Sus scrofa: one gene and its partner. The protein of the gene in region 1 binds, or shares a complex with, the protein of each later gene. Links are inferred from orthologs where the notes say so. Each region holds a gene or a part of one and is shown on either strand. Other genes may lie near its edges.

The links.
Region 2: the proteins of ITGAM (region 1) and PTN are in contact, whole or in part, in an NMR structure (PDB 8VOH), measured with the Homo sapiens proteins. The link is inferred for Sus scrofa from reciprocal best matches to the Homo sapiens genes ITGAM and PTN. Residues at the interface, in NP_000623.2 of Homo sapiens: Pro273, Asp276, Arg277, Gly279, Val280, Ile281, Arg282, Tyr283, Lys306, Pro307, Arg309, Asp310, His311, Ala334, Ile335, Glu336, Gly337, Thr338, Gln339; in NP_001308315.1 of Homo sapiens: Val56, Pro57, Thr58, Ser59, Asp61, Cys62, Gly63, Leu64, Thr66, Glu68, Thr79, Lys81, Thr82, Gln83, Arg84.

What each region holds. Positions count from the first base shown.
Region 1 is NC_010445.4:17,253,719-17,260,416, forward strand, and holds the start of ITGAM (integrin alpha-M), read right to left. Parts: upstream 3,813-6,698; 5' UTR 3,763-3,812; coding exon 3,396-3,762; intron 2,540-3,395; exon of another isoform or gene 810-2,539; coding exon 704-809; exon of another isoform or gene 645-703; intron 1-644.
Region 2 is NC_010460.4:12,287,840-12,293,768, reverse strand, and holds part of PTN (pleiotrophin precursor), read right to left. Parts: intron 5,924-5,929; 5' UTR 5,923-5,923; coding exon 5,808-5,922; intron 4,899-5,807; coding exon 4,725-4,898; intron 2,526-4,724; coding exon 2,364-2,525; intron 1-2,363.

The DNA of each region.
Region 1 (6,698 bases):
CGATCCGGCGTTGCCGTGAGCTGTGGTGTAGATTGCAGACGCGGCTGGGATCTTGCGTTGCTGTGGCTCTGGCATAGGCCGGTGGCTACGGCTCCAATTCAACCCCTAGCCTGGGAACCTCCATATGCCGCAGGAGCGGCCCAAGAAATAGCAACAACAACAACAACAAAAAAAAAAAGACAAAAGACAAAAAAAAAAAAAAAGAATCTCCCTGAAAGAACACACGAGAAACTGTCTACCAGGGACCCTGCCAGGGAGGGAACTGGGGGAAAGGAGTGAGGAGGAGACTTTCCATCACTTTTTTTTTTTGTCTTTTTTGCCACTTCTTGGCCAATCCTGCGGCATATGGAGGTTCCCAGGTTAGGGGGTCAAATTGGAGCTGCAGCCGCCGACCTACACCACAGCCACAGGAACTCGGGATCCGAGCCGCATCTGCGGCCCACACCACAGGTCAGGGCAACGCTGGATCCTTAACCCACTGAGCAAGGCCAGGGATCGAACCTGCCACCCCATGGTTCCTAGTCGGATTCATTAACCACTGCGCCATGACAGTGGTTACACTCTTTTGTATCTTTAGAGCTTAGAAGCCTGCTGAGTCAACAAACAAATCAAGGAGATTGTTTTGTTTTGTTTTTTGTTTTCAGACATGTTAAGTCTTGTACGGAAAGCCTGCGGGACAGGAAGTGCCCCCTGAGGCCCTTACCTCGACCCCTCCAGCTGGACCACGCTCTGCCCGAAGCCATTTGCATTTTCCTGGAAGACGACTGCATTTTCCGTGTCCAGGTTGAACCCATGACTTAAGGCCAAGGCTGGAAGGAGAACAAGGGGGTGGGAGTCAGGAAGAGATACGGAGACAAGTTAAGAAAGCCCTCCTGCCCCGAGCATCTTCCTGCCAGGATTCACCCTAACCCAGCACGGAGATGGGGGCCTCCAGGGCCAGCCCTTACAGCCTGTAGCAGAGGGCACCACACGTCTGTCTGTCTGTCTGTCTGTCTGTCTGTCTGTCTTCCTTTCTTTCTTTCATTTTGCCACACCATATGAGAGTGCTGGGGCCAGGGATCAAATCCGAGCCACAGCTCCAACCTAGCCTACGGCAACACCAGATCCTTAACCCACTTCACCTCCGAGGGAACTCCCACACGTGTTGTATAAATGACCAGAGAGTAAATATTTCGGGCCTTGTGAACCAAGAGAATCTCTTGCATGGATACTTAATATAAAAAAGAGGAAATATTTTCCCATAAATTTTTCCATTAAGGAAACTCAAAATATAACATTCAAGTACCATTGTAAAATAAATTAACTGATGAGACCAACGAAATTCTTTGGGATAGATAACATTTCACGCCACCAGGATAAAATTAGTGTCCCTGTCATGAATAGATTCTAAATGTTCACCTGGGACCTATGGCTCCAAGTTGTACAAAAACACATGCCACTGTGTCCTGGCCTTATGCCCACAGTCTACAGCTTGCCAACTCCTGGCCTAAGCACCACCAGCGTGGGATGTAATGGAAAAAAATTTCCCGTACTGAGGTATAGGGAAGTCATTCTGGCTTATACATGATTTAACTTGAATTTTACACTAAAACAGCCTGTTTGTAGCCTGTCAAACATACATTGTGCATTTGCTTTAATCATGAAAGAAAAAGGTTCATTGTCCAAGAGAACAGTGTGCCCATGTTAAAAACAAAGATGAAATGCTTCCCTTCCTGGGACTCAAATGCTGGTATTCCTTCAATGATAAAACTCCCTGGGAGTTCCCACTGTGGTGCAACAGGATTGGTGGCATCTTGGGAGCGCTGGGACAACGGTTCAATCCCCGGCCCGGCACAGAGGCTTAATTTAAGGATCCAGCGTAGCCGCAGCTGCAGCACAGGTTACAACTCTGGCTCAGATCTGATCCCTGGCCCAGAAACTCCATATGCCACAGGGTGGCCAAAAATGACAAAAAAATAAAGAAAGAAAGAAAGAAAAAAAAAAAAAAAAAGACTCCCTTCCCCAGGGCCAAGGCCATACTGACTCACTTATGTACCTGTGGATCTGTTTCGTGTTTTCTTTTTTCTTTTTTGAAATCCTGAAGAAATGTCTCCCTGACTTGTTTAATGTTCTTTGTTCTGACATGATATAAAACTGTGCTGAAGGGGAGTTCCCTTCCTGGTGCAGCAGAAATGACTCCGACTAGAATCCATCAGGATGTGGGTTCAATCCTTGGCCTCGCTCAGTGGGTTAAGGACCCAGTGTTGCCATGAGATGTGGTGTAGGTCGCAGATATGACTCGGATCTGCCATTTCTGTGGCTGTGGTGTACCCCAGCAGCTGTAGCTCTGATCTGACCCCTAGCCTGCGAACTTCCAAGTGCCGTGGGTGCGGCCCTAAAAAACAAAACAAAACAAAACAAAACAAACAAAAACAAAACTGCTGAAGATCTTGCTTCTCTGGAACAGTTCCTCAGAGGTCTCTGAGGGGCTGCCTCTTAGGCTATGTCCTCAGTTTGGCTCAAAAAAAAAAAAAAAAACTTCTTTTCTATTCCTATTATAGTTTGTTTGTTTGTTTGGGTATTTTCTGCTTTTTAGGGCCACACCTGTAGCATATGGAAATTCCCAGGCTAGGGGTCCAATCAGAGCTACAGCTTCTGGCCTACACCACAGCCACAGCAATGCCAGATCTGAGCGGTATCTGCGACCTACACGACAACTCATGGCAATGCCAGATATTTAACCCACTAAGCAAGGCCAAGGATTGAACCCACGTCCTCGTGAATATTAGTCCGGTTCTTTACCACTGAGCCACAACAGGAACTCCTTCTATTCCTATTATAGACTGCTTATTGATTATTTCCATCAACAGGTGCATTTAACCCCTCCAACCTTCACCTTGGGTTCCCAGCCCACTAATGGGCCCATCAAGTTCCTAAAGACTCAGTTAGACAGGTTCCTTCCTATGCAAGCAACGTTCAAGCATTTCTTTCCCTTCTTCGGCTCATACGCCACAAAACACAGATTAAAAAAGGAATCAAACTTGAATCATTTTGGTCAATCAGTCATTCAACAAACACTTACACGTGGGTGCTCAGAAAATAGGAGGCAAATAGGAGGTGGTGAGGCGGAACCCAAGAAGCAACACTCCAAGACCTGCTGTGCCCCCTTAAACATGTCATTTCACCACTTGGGGCCTCAGTTTTCTCATCTGTGAGTGAAGGGACACCTTGTATAGTCTATGAATTGTCATTCAACCAAGCTTCTCTGGTCATCCCATAACTTTCCCCCAATCCCTTTTGTCTCTTCCCAGTCCAGCTCCTAAATATTCTGGACCCTTTCTCTCCATTCACAAATTCAGAAATTTCCCTCCTCCTCACCCTGAGCTCCCCCCATCCCCGCCCCTCTCCTGGCGCACCTGTCAGCAGAAGGATTCTGTGAGTCATGGCTGGAGGGAGCAGGAACCGTGAGGCTGCAGGCGCCCACTGAGCCACTTCAAGGAAGCCACCAAACGCAGGAAGGACCCTAAAAAGAGAAGTAGGAGGCACAAAGTCTGTCAGATATTCAGAGGAAGAGGGCGGAGGCTCAGGGAGCCCACAGCCCTGCTGGACCGTCCTCCCCCGGGGCTGCACACAGCCTGGCCTCCCTCCCTGCCTCCCTGGCTTCCCCACCCCAACCATCAAGGTCGCCATCCCAAAGGTGTCTTTGTTTGCCCACCTGCTTCTAGAGTCGGCCAAAACCCCAGGAAAGGCAAGGACTAGACCTAGGACCTGCCTCCAGAACATGTGTTCTATTTTTATTTTTATTTTTATTTTTATTTTGGTCTTTCTGTCTTTTTAGGGCCACACCCACAGCAGGTGGAAGTTCCCAAGCTAGGGGTCTAATCGGAGCTACAGCTGCCGGCCTGCGCCATAGCCACAGCCACGTGGGATCCGAGCCGCGTCTGCAACCTACACCACAGCTCTCGGCAACGCCAGACCCTCAACCCATGGAGCGAGGCCAGGGAAGGAATGTGTGTCCTCATGGATGCTAGTTGGGACCATTAACCACTGAGCCACGACGGGAACTCCATGGAACACGTGTTCTAAACATGAATACAGTCCAGGCAGGAGAGAGGGGTCCTACCCTCTGTCTCCCTGAAAAGCCCACTTTGCAAAACATCCCTCCCTCCTGCCCAGGGAAACAGAAGACCCTCTCAGCCAGGGCTGTCCTCCTGTGTGGCCATCGATAAGGACAACTCCGGGAGTTCCCATTGTGGCTTACAGTATAACAAAGCTGACAAGTATCCATGAGGATGTGGGTTCCATCTTTGGCCTCCATCAGTGGGTTACAGATCCAGCGTTGCCCTGAGCTGTGGTGTAGGCTGGCAGCTGTGGATCCAATCTGACCCCTAGCCTGGGAACCTCCATATGCCCTTAAGGGTGCAGCCCTTAAAAAATAAATAAATAAATAAATAAAATAAGGACAACTCAGATGCAGAGAATATGCCTTCTGAATATTATTTTGTTTAAAACAAACAAAAAAGCCTCTGGCTGAGTCATTTTGCTGTACAGTAGAAATTGGCACAACATTGTAAAAATCAGCTATATTTTAATTAAGATGTGATATATATACACAATGGAATACTACTCAGCCATAAAAAAGAACAACATAATCCCATTTGCAGCAACATGGACGGAACTAGAGACTCTCATATTGAGTGAGGTAAGTCAGAAAGAAAAAGACAAATACCATATGATATCACTTATATCTGGAATTTAATATATGGCACAAATGAACCTTTCCACAGAAAAGAAAATCATGGACTTGGAGAACAGACTTGTGGTTGCCAAGGGGGCAGGACAGGGAGTGGGATGGATGGGGAACTTGGGGTTCATAGATGCAGACTACTGCCTTTGGAATGGATGAGCAATGAGATCCTGCTGTGTAGCACAGGGAACTATGTCTGGTCACTTAGGATGGAGCCCGATAATGTGAGGAAAAAAGAATGTATACGTGTATGTGTGACTGGGTCACCATGCTGTACAGTAGAAAAGTGACAGAATACTGTAAACCAGCTATAATGGAAAAAAATTTAAATCATTATAAAAAATTTAAAAATAAAAAAATAAAAATAAAAAGCCTCAAACCCTTTTGCCCAGAAATTTTTCACTTCTAAGAATGTATCCTACGACATAGCTGAGGAGAATGGTCAAAGGTGTCTGTACAAGCTCGCTCACCACAGTGTGGTTTTTAACTGTGAAAAGTAACAGCAGCCTAAATACCCAACCACAGATACAGCCTTATGTTCTGTACTATCTGCTTCCTTCATGGACTTCTCCTGTGGCCTAAAGCATAACTTCAGGCCATAGTGCCTAGTAACTTCCAAATCACTTTTCAAAGACCCAGGAGCATTTTTTTTTTTTTTCAAAATATTTTCTTTTTTTTTTTTTTTTGAATGTCTAAATCTTTTACTTATTTTTATTTTTCCATTATAGTTGATTTACAGTGTTGTTCTGTTCTTTTGTTTTTGGGGGTTTTTGTTTGTTTGTTTTTTGTCTTTTGTCTCTTGAGGGCCACACCTGCGGCATATGGAGTTCCCAGGCTAGGAGCTGCAGCCACCGGCCTACGCCAGAGTCACAGCAACTCGGGATCCAAGCCATGTCTGCAACCTACACCACAGCTCACGGCAATGCCGGATCCTTAACCCACTGAACAAGGTCAGGGACCGAACCCGCAACCTCATGGTTCCTAGTCGGATTCGTTTCCACTGGGCCGTGATGGGAACTCCTGATTTACCGTATTCTGTCAATTCCTACTGTACAGAAAAGTGACCCAGTCATATGTATATACATACACTCTTTTTCTCACATTATCCTACAGGAGCATATTTTTAAGAAATACATGGAACACCCAAATATAGGACACTTTGTATGTGTCTGCTAACGGGATCCCCAAGCCAACCATTTCTCATTCTCTACTTTTTCTTGTCTCTAGTACCACTTTCTTAATAACCAGAGCAAAGAAATGTGTGCTCTGAAAAAATTTCATAAAAACTCTGTACATATTTTTAATTATCTGTTTAAAAATATGTGCATACAGAAAAACCAAATGTGAATAGTGGTTTCCTCCAGACAGCACGTCAATGAGTCTGTCCTGCTCTATTGCTTGCATTGCAAACCATTCCAAACCTTAATGACTTAAAACAGCAGCTTCTTTCTAATTGATTTTATTGACATATAGTTGATTTACAATGCTGTATTAGTTTCTGGTGTACAGCAAAGTGATTCGGTTATACATATACATAAACAGTTTGCATCTGCTAACCCCAAACTCCCAGCCCATCCCCTCCCTCTTGGCAACCACAATTCTAAAACAGCAACTTCTTATTGTTTTGTGGTCCTATGGATTGTCTGACCTTAGCAGTTCTCAGTAGGGAGTCTCAGGTGGCTGCAGTCAGACTGTGAGTGGGGCTGGAGGCCTTGAAGGCTCAGCTGGGTGGAAAATAGATCACTCCCACCGCTGGAAGCTGGTGCCAGCTACAGGCTAGGCGTTCCGTTGGTGCTGTCAGCTGGAGGAACTCCATGTGTCCTCTCTTTGTGGCTTGGGCTACTCCCAGCATAGTGGTTAGGTTTCAAGAGCATGTATTCCAAGAGAAAAGAATTGAAAGTTTCCAATCGCTTAAGGTTTTGATCGGAAACTGTCTCGGAGCCACTTCCATCATAATCTACTGGTCAAGCAG
Region 2 (5,929 bases), on another chromosome or scaffold:
TGTAAAGGCTGTAATGACTCAACAAAAAATGAAAAGTGGCTCTAATGAGACCTAACTCACCCTTCAGTGGGATACTCCACTGGCCCAATATGATTGCTCTCAGCAACTTCTTATCCTAGAAATGGCATCAATGCCTCTTCTAGCCCAGAAGGAGAGAGGACTAGGAGTAAAGATGCAGTCCAACACATCGTGACATTCCTGCATACTCCCCAGCTCCTGGCAGATCACTTACTAAATACCAAAACAAATCCCTTTCAGCTTCTCTTCTCATATTTAGAGGTAGAATTCAGAAGGTTAAAGACATTTCCCAGACTCCCTTGTGGCAGGATTTTATATGTGACCTAGTTTCCACTCTGCAGGCACCCTTAAATGAGTCTTAGAGGTAGAAGTGAACAAGCAGAAAATAAGGTCAAATTTGGGGAGACTGGCTATTTTGGCAAGAAAGGAGGTAGGAGTGTCTGGGTACAGAGATGAAGTTTCCAGTGTCCAGTTCTTAGCCTTATAGTGTGCTGAGCAGTGAGTAATTTCAGCAAGAGTATCTCTGCCATATCAGTCACATATGGTGTGATTAGACACATCTCTTGGATCTGTTGCCTTCTTGCAGTATTGCTGGATCCACGTCAAATACTCTGGCCCCTCTGGAGATTCTGTAAGCTATATGATATTCTTCAATCAACCCCTTTCTGCCTCACTAGCTAGAATAGATCTTGCTGCAGCTAAAAAACTCTGACAGATACAGGATTTTCTTAATTAAGAATTTTAATTAATGCTCTCAATCTCTTTTCCTAAGAAATTAAAATCTCAAGCGCCCAACATGATTGCTCACTAATTTATCTCTGCCACATTCTGGCAATGATTAAGCAAACTCTAGTTACAATCTTTCAGTCAATCAGTGACCTTCCCCAGAGCAATCTATCCCCATCCCAAAGAAAACTACATTCCAATTGTGCGTCTTTCAATTCTTGTATCTACCTAAGAATATCAATAGTCTCCCTTCTTCTGAGCATATAATTTAGAAGTGGATGACAAACAGCTCTCTTCAGATTAAGTGGGATTCCAACAAAAGAGAGACTTTGGATAGGATCTCCAATCTGGTACCGGGCATCGCTGAAATTGTGAACAAGGGCTAGAGTACAGAGTTTGTACAATATTGACATAGCAATAGGAAGGACCCTTTCTTTACCTCAAAAGATAATGCTGTTAAACTGAAGTGTAATAAATTTAAAGACAATTTTTTAATCAAAGCAACTGGAAAACTTAATTTCCCCAAATTTAGATTGCAATTCTAGATATTAAGCACTTTCCCTATGCAAGTCTGTTAATCTTTTAGCCTCATTAATAATCTAATCACAATAATTTTCCCACAAGGGGGATGTCCTCCCACCTTTCCTCAATTTAGTGCTGAGTCGTCACAGCCTTACCAACATCTTCACACTCCATTCTAAAATGTAAAGGGGATGCTTTCAGACTTCCTTCAGTGTTTATGTGTCCTAATCTCCTAGTCCTATATGCCAGTCATAGGGGATCAGGGTCCACACACATGACTTCATTTAATTCCAGGTACCTCTTTCAAGGCCCTCTCTCCAGGTACAGTCTCTGTGGTACTGAAAGTTAGGGCATGAACATCTGAATTTGGAGGATGTAACTCGGCTCACACAACCATGACCTAAGAGTGTAATACCTCCTTGTCTTCCCTCAGCTGGGATTTTGTTTGTGTGAAAACACAGCCATGACGTTTGGTGTAGTTTATTTTCTCCAGCATGAGAGCAGAGTCTAATTTTCTGGGTATGAATAGAAAGATAGCTCTACATAATTTTGAAATTCCAAGACAAATGAACTTGGTACGTTAATCTAACTAAACAAATATGAAGACTTTGAAAGGAGGAATAGACATACAGACCCTATCAAGTGATGTGGTAGACAAGGAAAGAGATAAAATAACTGATTTCCTGAAAACTGTAGATGTTGATAATCTAAGAAAGACTCGATTTTGAATTTTCAGCCTTGTGAACTGCCTAAGTTTGTTCGTATTTGTCAGGATGTAGTCCTGATTTAGGACTTGGATATATTGTCAACATACAGCTGTCTTAATTGGCCTATTTTGCTAAGTTGTTTATTTGTGCTAGAAGACTGCTCTAGTTCCCCAGTCTGGGCAGAGCACTTCAAGTTGAACTCATCAATTGCCTGCTGTAAAGTACTTGTGTAATGCTCAGTGTATTTTTTTTTTCAATCCCTTTCCTTAAAGAAATTCACCCAAGATTTCCTTCTGGAAAATTTGAGTTTGCACATCTGAAGGTCTTGCCTGAGTCCATCAATCCAGCCACATTAAACATGTAGTGTCATGGTGCAAAGGCAGAGCCTACCTTGAGGTTTGGGCTTAGTCACTTTGCCACAGGGCTTGGAGATGGTGACTGTCTTCTGGCAGTCGGCGTTGTGGAGAGCTCGCTTCAGGCTTCCGGTTCTGGTCTTCAAGGCCGTGTTCAGGTCACATTCGCCCCAGGCCTGGAACTGGTATTTGCACTCCGCTAGAGGCAGGAAGGCAGGACCAAACAGAAATCTCTGAATTCCTCTTGGAGTGCCAAAAATTAGACACACTTCTGTTTTCAACTTTTTATAGTGAGGTAAGTGTAGGTTCACATGCAGTTGTAAGAAAGGATACTGAGCATCCCCATATACCCTGCACCCAGATTCCCTCAGTGGTTATAACCTGTGTGACTACAGTCGAAAGGCACAACCAGAAAATTGAGTGGACACATCCCATAGAAGTTCCTTAGGTCTCCCCAGTTTCACATACACTCAGTGTGTATATGTGTGCGAACATTTAGTTCTGTGTGCAGATAAATATGAACACCCAACCATTAATATTCACACAAGTTCTAACCCAAGGGCCCCGTGGGTTATCCTCTTACATCATAGCTTAGCTACCTTCTTCCTTTCCCACCTCCTCTGCCCTTGGCAATTATCTGTTCTCCATGTCTATAATTTTGTTATTTAAGGAGTGTTACTTAAATGGAATCATATAGTTTGTAAGCTTTTGAGACTGGCTCTTTGCCCTCAGTAAAATCTCCTGGACGTCCATCCAAGTTGTGTGTATCAGTAGCCTATTCCTTTTATTGCTCAGTAGTACTCTGTGGTACAGATGTACCCCAGCTGATTAGCCATTCACTAGTGGAAGGACATCTGGGTTCTTTCCAGATTTTGGCTATGACAAGTAAAGCTGCAATATACATTGCTGTATAGATTTTTATAGGAACATAAGTTTCCATTTCTCTAGAGTGAGACCACTGCATTGTATGGTAAATACAAGTTGCGTTTTGTGAAAAACTACCATTCTCTCTTCCAATGTGGCTTCTGTATGTACCTTCCCATCACCAATGCATGCATGATCTAGTTTCTCTGCATCCTCACTAGCATCTGATGTGATTTCTAATGTTAGCCATTCTAATAGGTAATACAGAATGATAGCTCATTGGTGTTCATTTTAATTTCTCTAATAGGAAAAAGATATTGAACACTTTTTCAAATGTTTATTTGCCATGTATTTATCCCCTTCAGTAAAATGTTTGTTCCTATCTTTTGCCCACTTTCTAACTGGATTGTTGGTTTTGAGAGTTCTTATATATTCTAGACACAAGACCTTGAAGACACAGTTTTTAAGACATTTTGCATATCATTCTTAGGGTATCCATATACAATTCAAGATTAAATGTATCTGAATTTTACCATCCTTTTACAGAATTTACCTCTACTCATAAAAAGTTATAACCCCCAAAGTTATAAAGAATGAAAAAGATATAGTGTGTCTATTCATTATTCTTCTCCATTGGTCACTAGGTCAAAGCACCTTCCTGTAGACCAGGGAGAATATCTGGGGCATCGTGTCCCACTAGGCATGTGAAAAAATCAAGGAACTGGGTGTTCAGTGGTGGGTTTAAAGTTGAAGGAGTTGAAAGATTCTTCTCAAGTAGGTAGATGAAGTCAGCATGAAACTGGCAGTATTTGGTGAGAGAAAAATCTATGAAAAGGGGCTCACAGCAACCCTGCTGGGTTTGGAAAGTGAATCTACAAACCCATGTGGAAAGTGGAGAGAGAGCAAAAGAGAGAGAGGGCCTGCAAGTGACAGAAAGAGATCGGGAGAAGGAGAATAAATAAGAAAAAAGGAAGGGGAGACAGAAGGAATCTAGAAATAGAAGAAGGAAAGAGAACACTGTTAAGAGGGATCAAGGGTTCATTTCTATCCCTATTGGTAAAGCCTGTGGCCTCAGTCAGGGACTATTGCACCCCCCACTCACCCCAGGAAATGTGCAGCACTATCTGGAGGAATTTTCTTTATATGTGTGTGTGTGTGTGTGTGTGTGTAATGATTTTTATTTTTTTCCATTATAACTGGATTACACTGGAGATATTTTCAGTTGCTGCAGTTGGTAAGGTGGAGGGCATGCTCCCAGAAACTCATGGGTAAAAGCCAGAGAGTCAGCTAAATACCCTACAGTGCACAGAATAACCCTCCATCCAGGACAAAAAAATTATCTGAGCCCTCCCATGCTAGTAGTACTGAAAATGAGGTACCTGGGGGTAGGCAAAGTGCCCGGTTAGGCTGCATCTGAGAAAATAAATGTGTTAAAATAAATAGAATCGACCTCAAAAAGGTATTTGGTAGAAGAATGCAAGAATTATCTCAGGGTAGAAGATGACATCAACAGGACTGCAGGGGTGGGACTTACCTCCAAACTGCTTTTTCCAGTTGCACGGGATCTTACATCTCTGGGTCTTCATGGTTTGTTTACACTCAGCTCCAGTCCGGGTGCCCTCCCGGGTGCCCAGCCCACAGTCCCCACTGGTGGGCACACACACACTCCACTGCCATTCTCCACAGTCAGACTTCTTCACCTTTTTTTCTGGAAGGGAGGAAAGAAAAATAATCAACATCCAGAAAAATCTTTAACTCCTAGATATAACTAAGTCCATTCCTGATCTCCTTAATTGCATGGTCTGGGCATTTTACCTTTGTCTTCAGTGTTCAGTAAGAGTAGGAACTTGATAGGTGTTAGCTGAATGGTTCAATCAACCAATGACCAAGAGAAGGGAGAAAGAAAACTGTGGAGCTAGAACTGTTATTCATTTTAATTCTTATTATGTATCAAGGACTGTGCTAAGTGATTCACTGATCTCTCCTTTTAGAAGCAAACATTTCTGTAAAAAGAGAAGATGGTCAAAGTCAGTTAAACCTGAAAAATGAGAAACTAGTCTATGAGAAGTAAGAGTTGTCAGGTTAGCCAGTTCGACGCATGTCTCAACGTTCCTTTCTCGTACAGGAGGAATAGCGTAAGGCGAGTGTGGTGGACGCAGCTGTAAACAGACTCCCAGCTGCACAGCCCCTTAGGACAAGGGGAGTGACATAGAAAAGGTGCTTCATCCTCTCTGAGCTTCGCCTTCCTCCTTTTTCAATATGAGATAAAACAAAAATTCCTTTTAGGACTCTTTGGGAGGAAGGTATGAGCATAAGCAAAACACCTGATCGCTGCTGGTCGGTTTTCCAAACGCAGTAGCTGCTGCTGTGGTCTTTACTGTGATCACTGTCATGCGGCTCAAGTTAATGATCCTCATCCCTTTTTTAGGACTTACAGTTGAGGGGGATGGAAGTGAGAGGGGATGTCTCTTAGGTTCCTCTGAATACTTGGAGAGAGGAAAGGTAGGAAGAAAATGACGGAGGGAGGGGGAGGGAAGGAGAAAGGACAAAATCAGGTAGTTGGATTAAGGGGACATTACTTAAGGAAGAGTTTCGTGCTCATAACCGTATTGCTTACCTGGTTTCTCTTTCTTTCCTGCTTCAGCGGTATCCACAACTGCCAAAAGGAAAATGAATGCCAAGAAGGCAGCTGCAAATTTTCGACGCTGCTGCAGGAACTGTGGGGTCTGCATTCTGGGA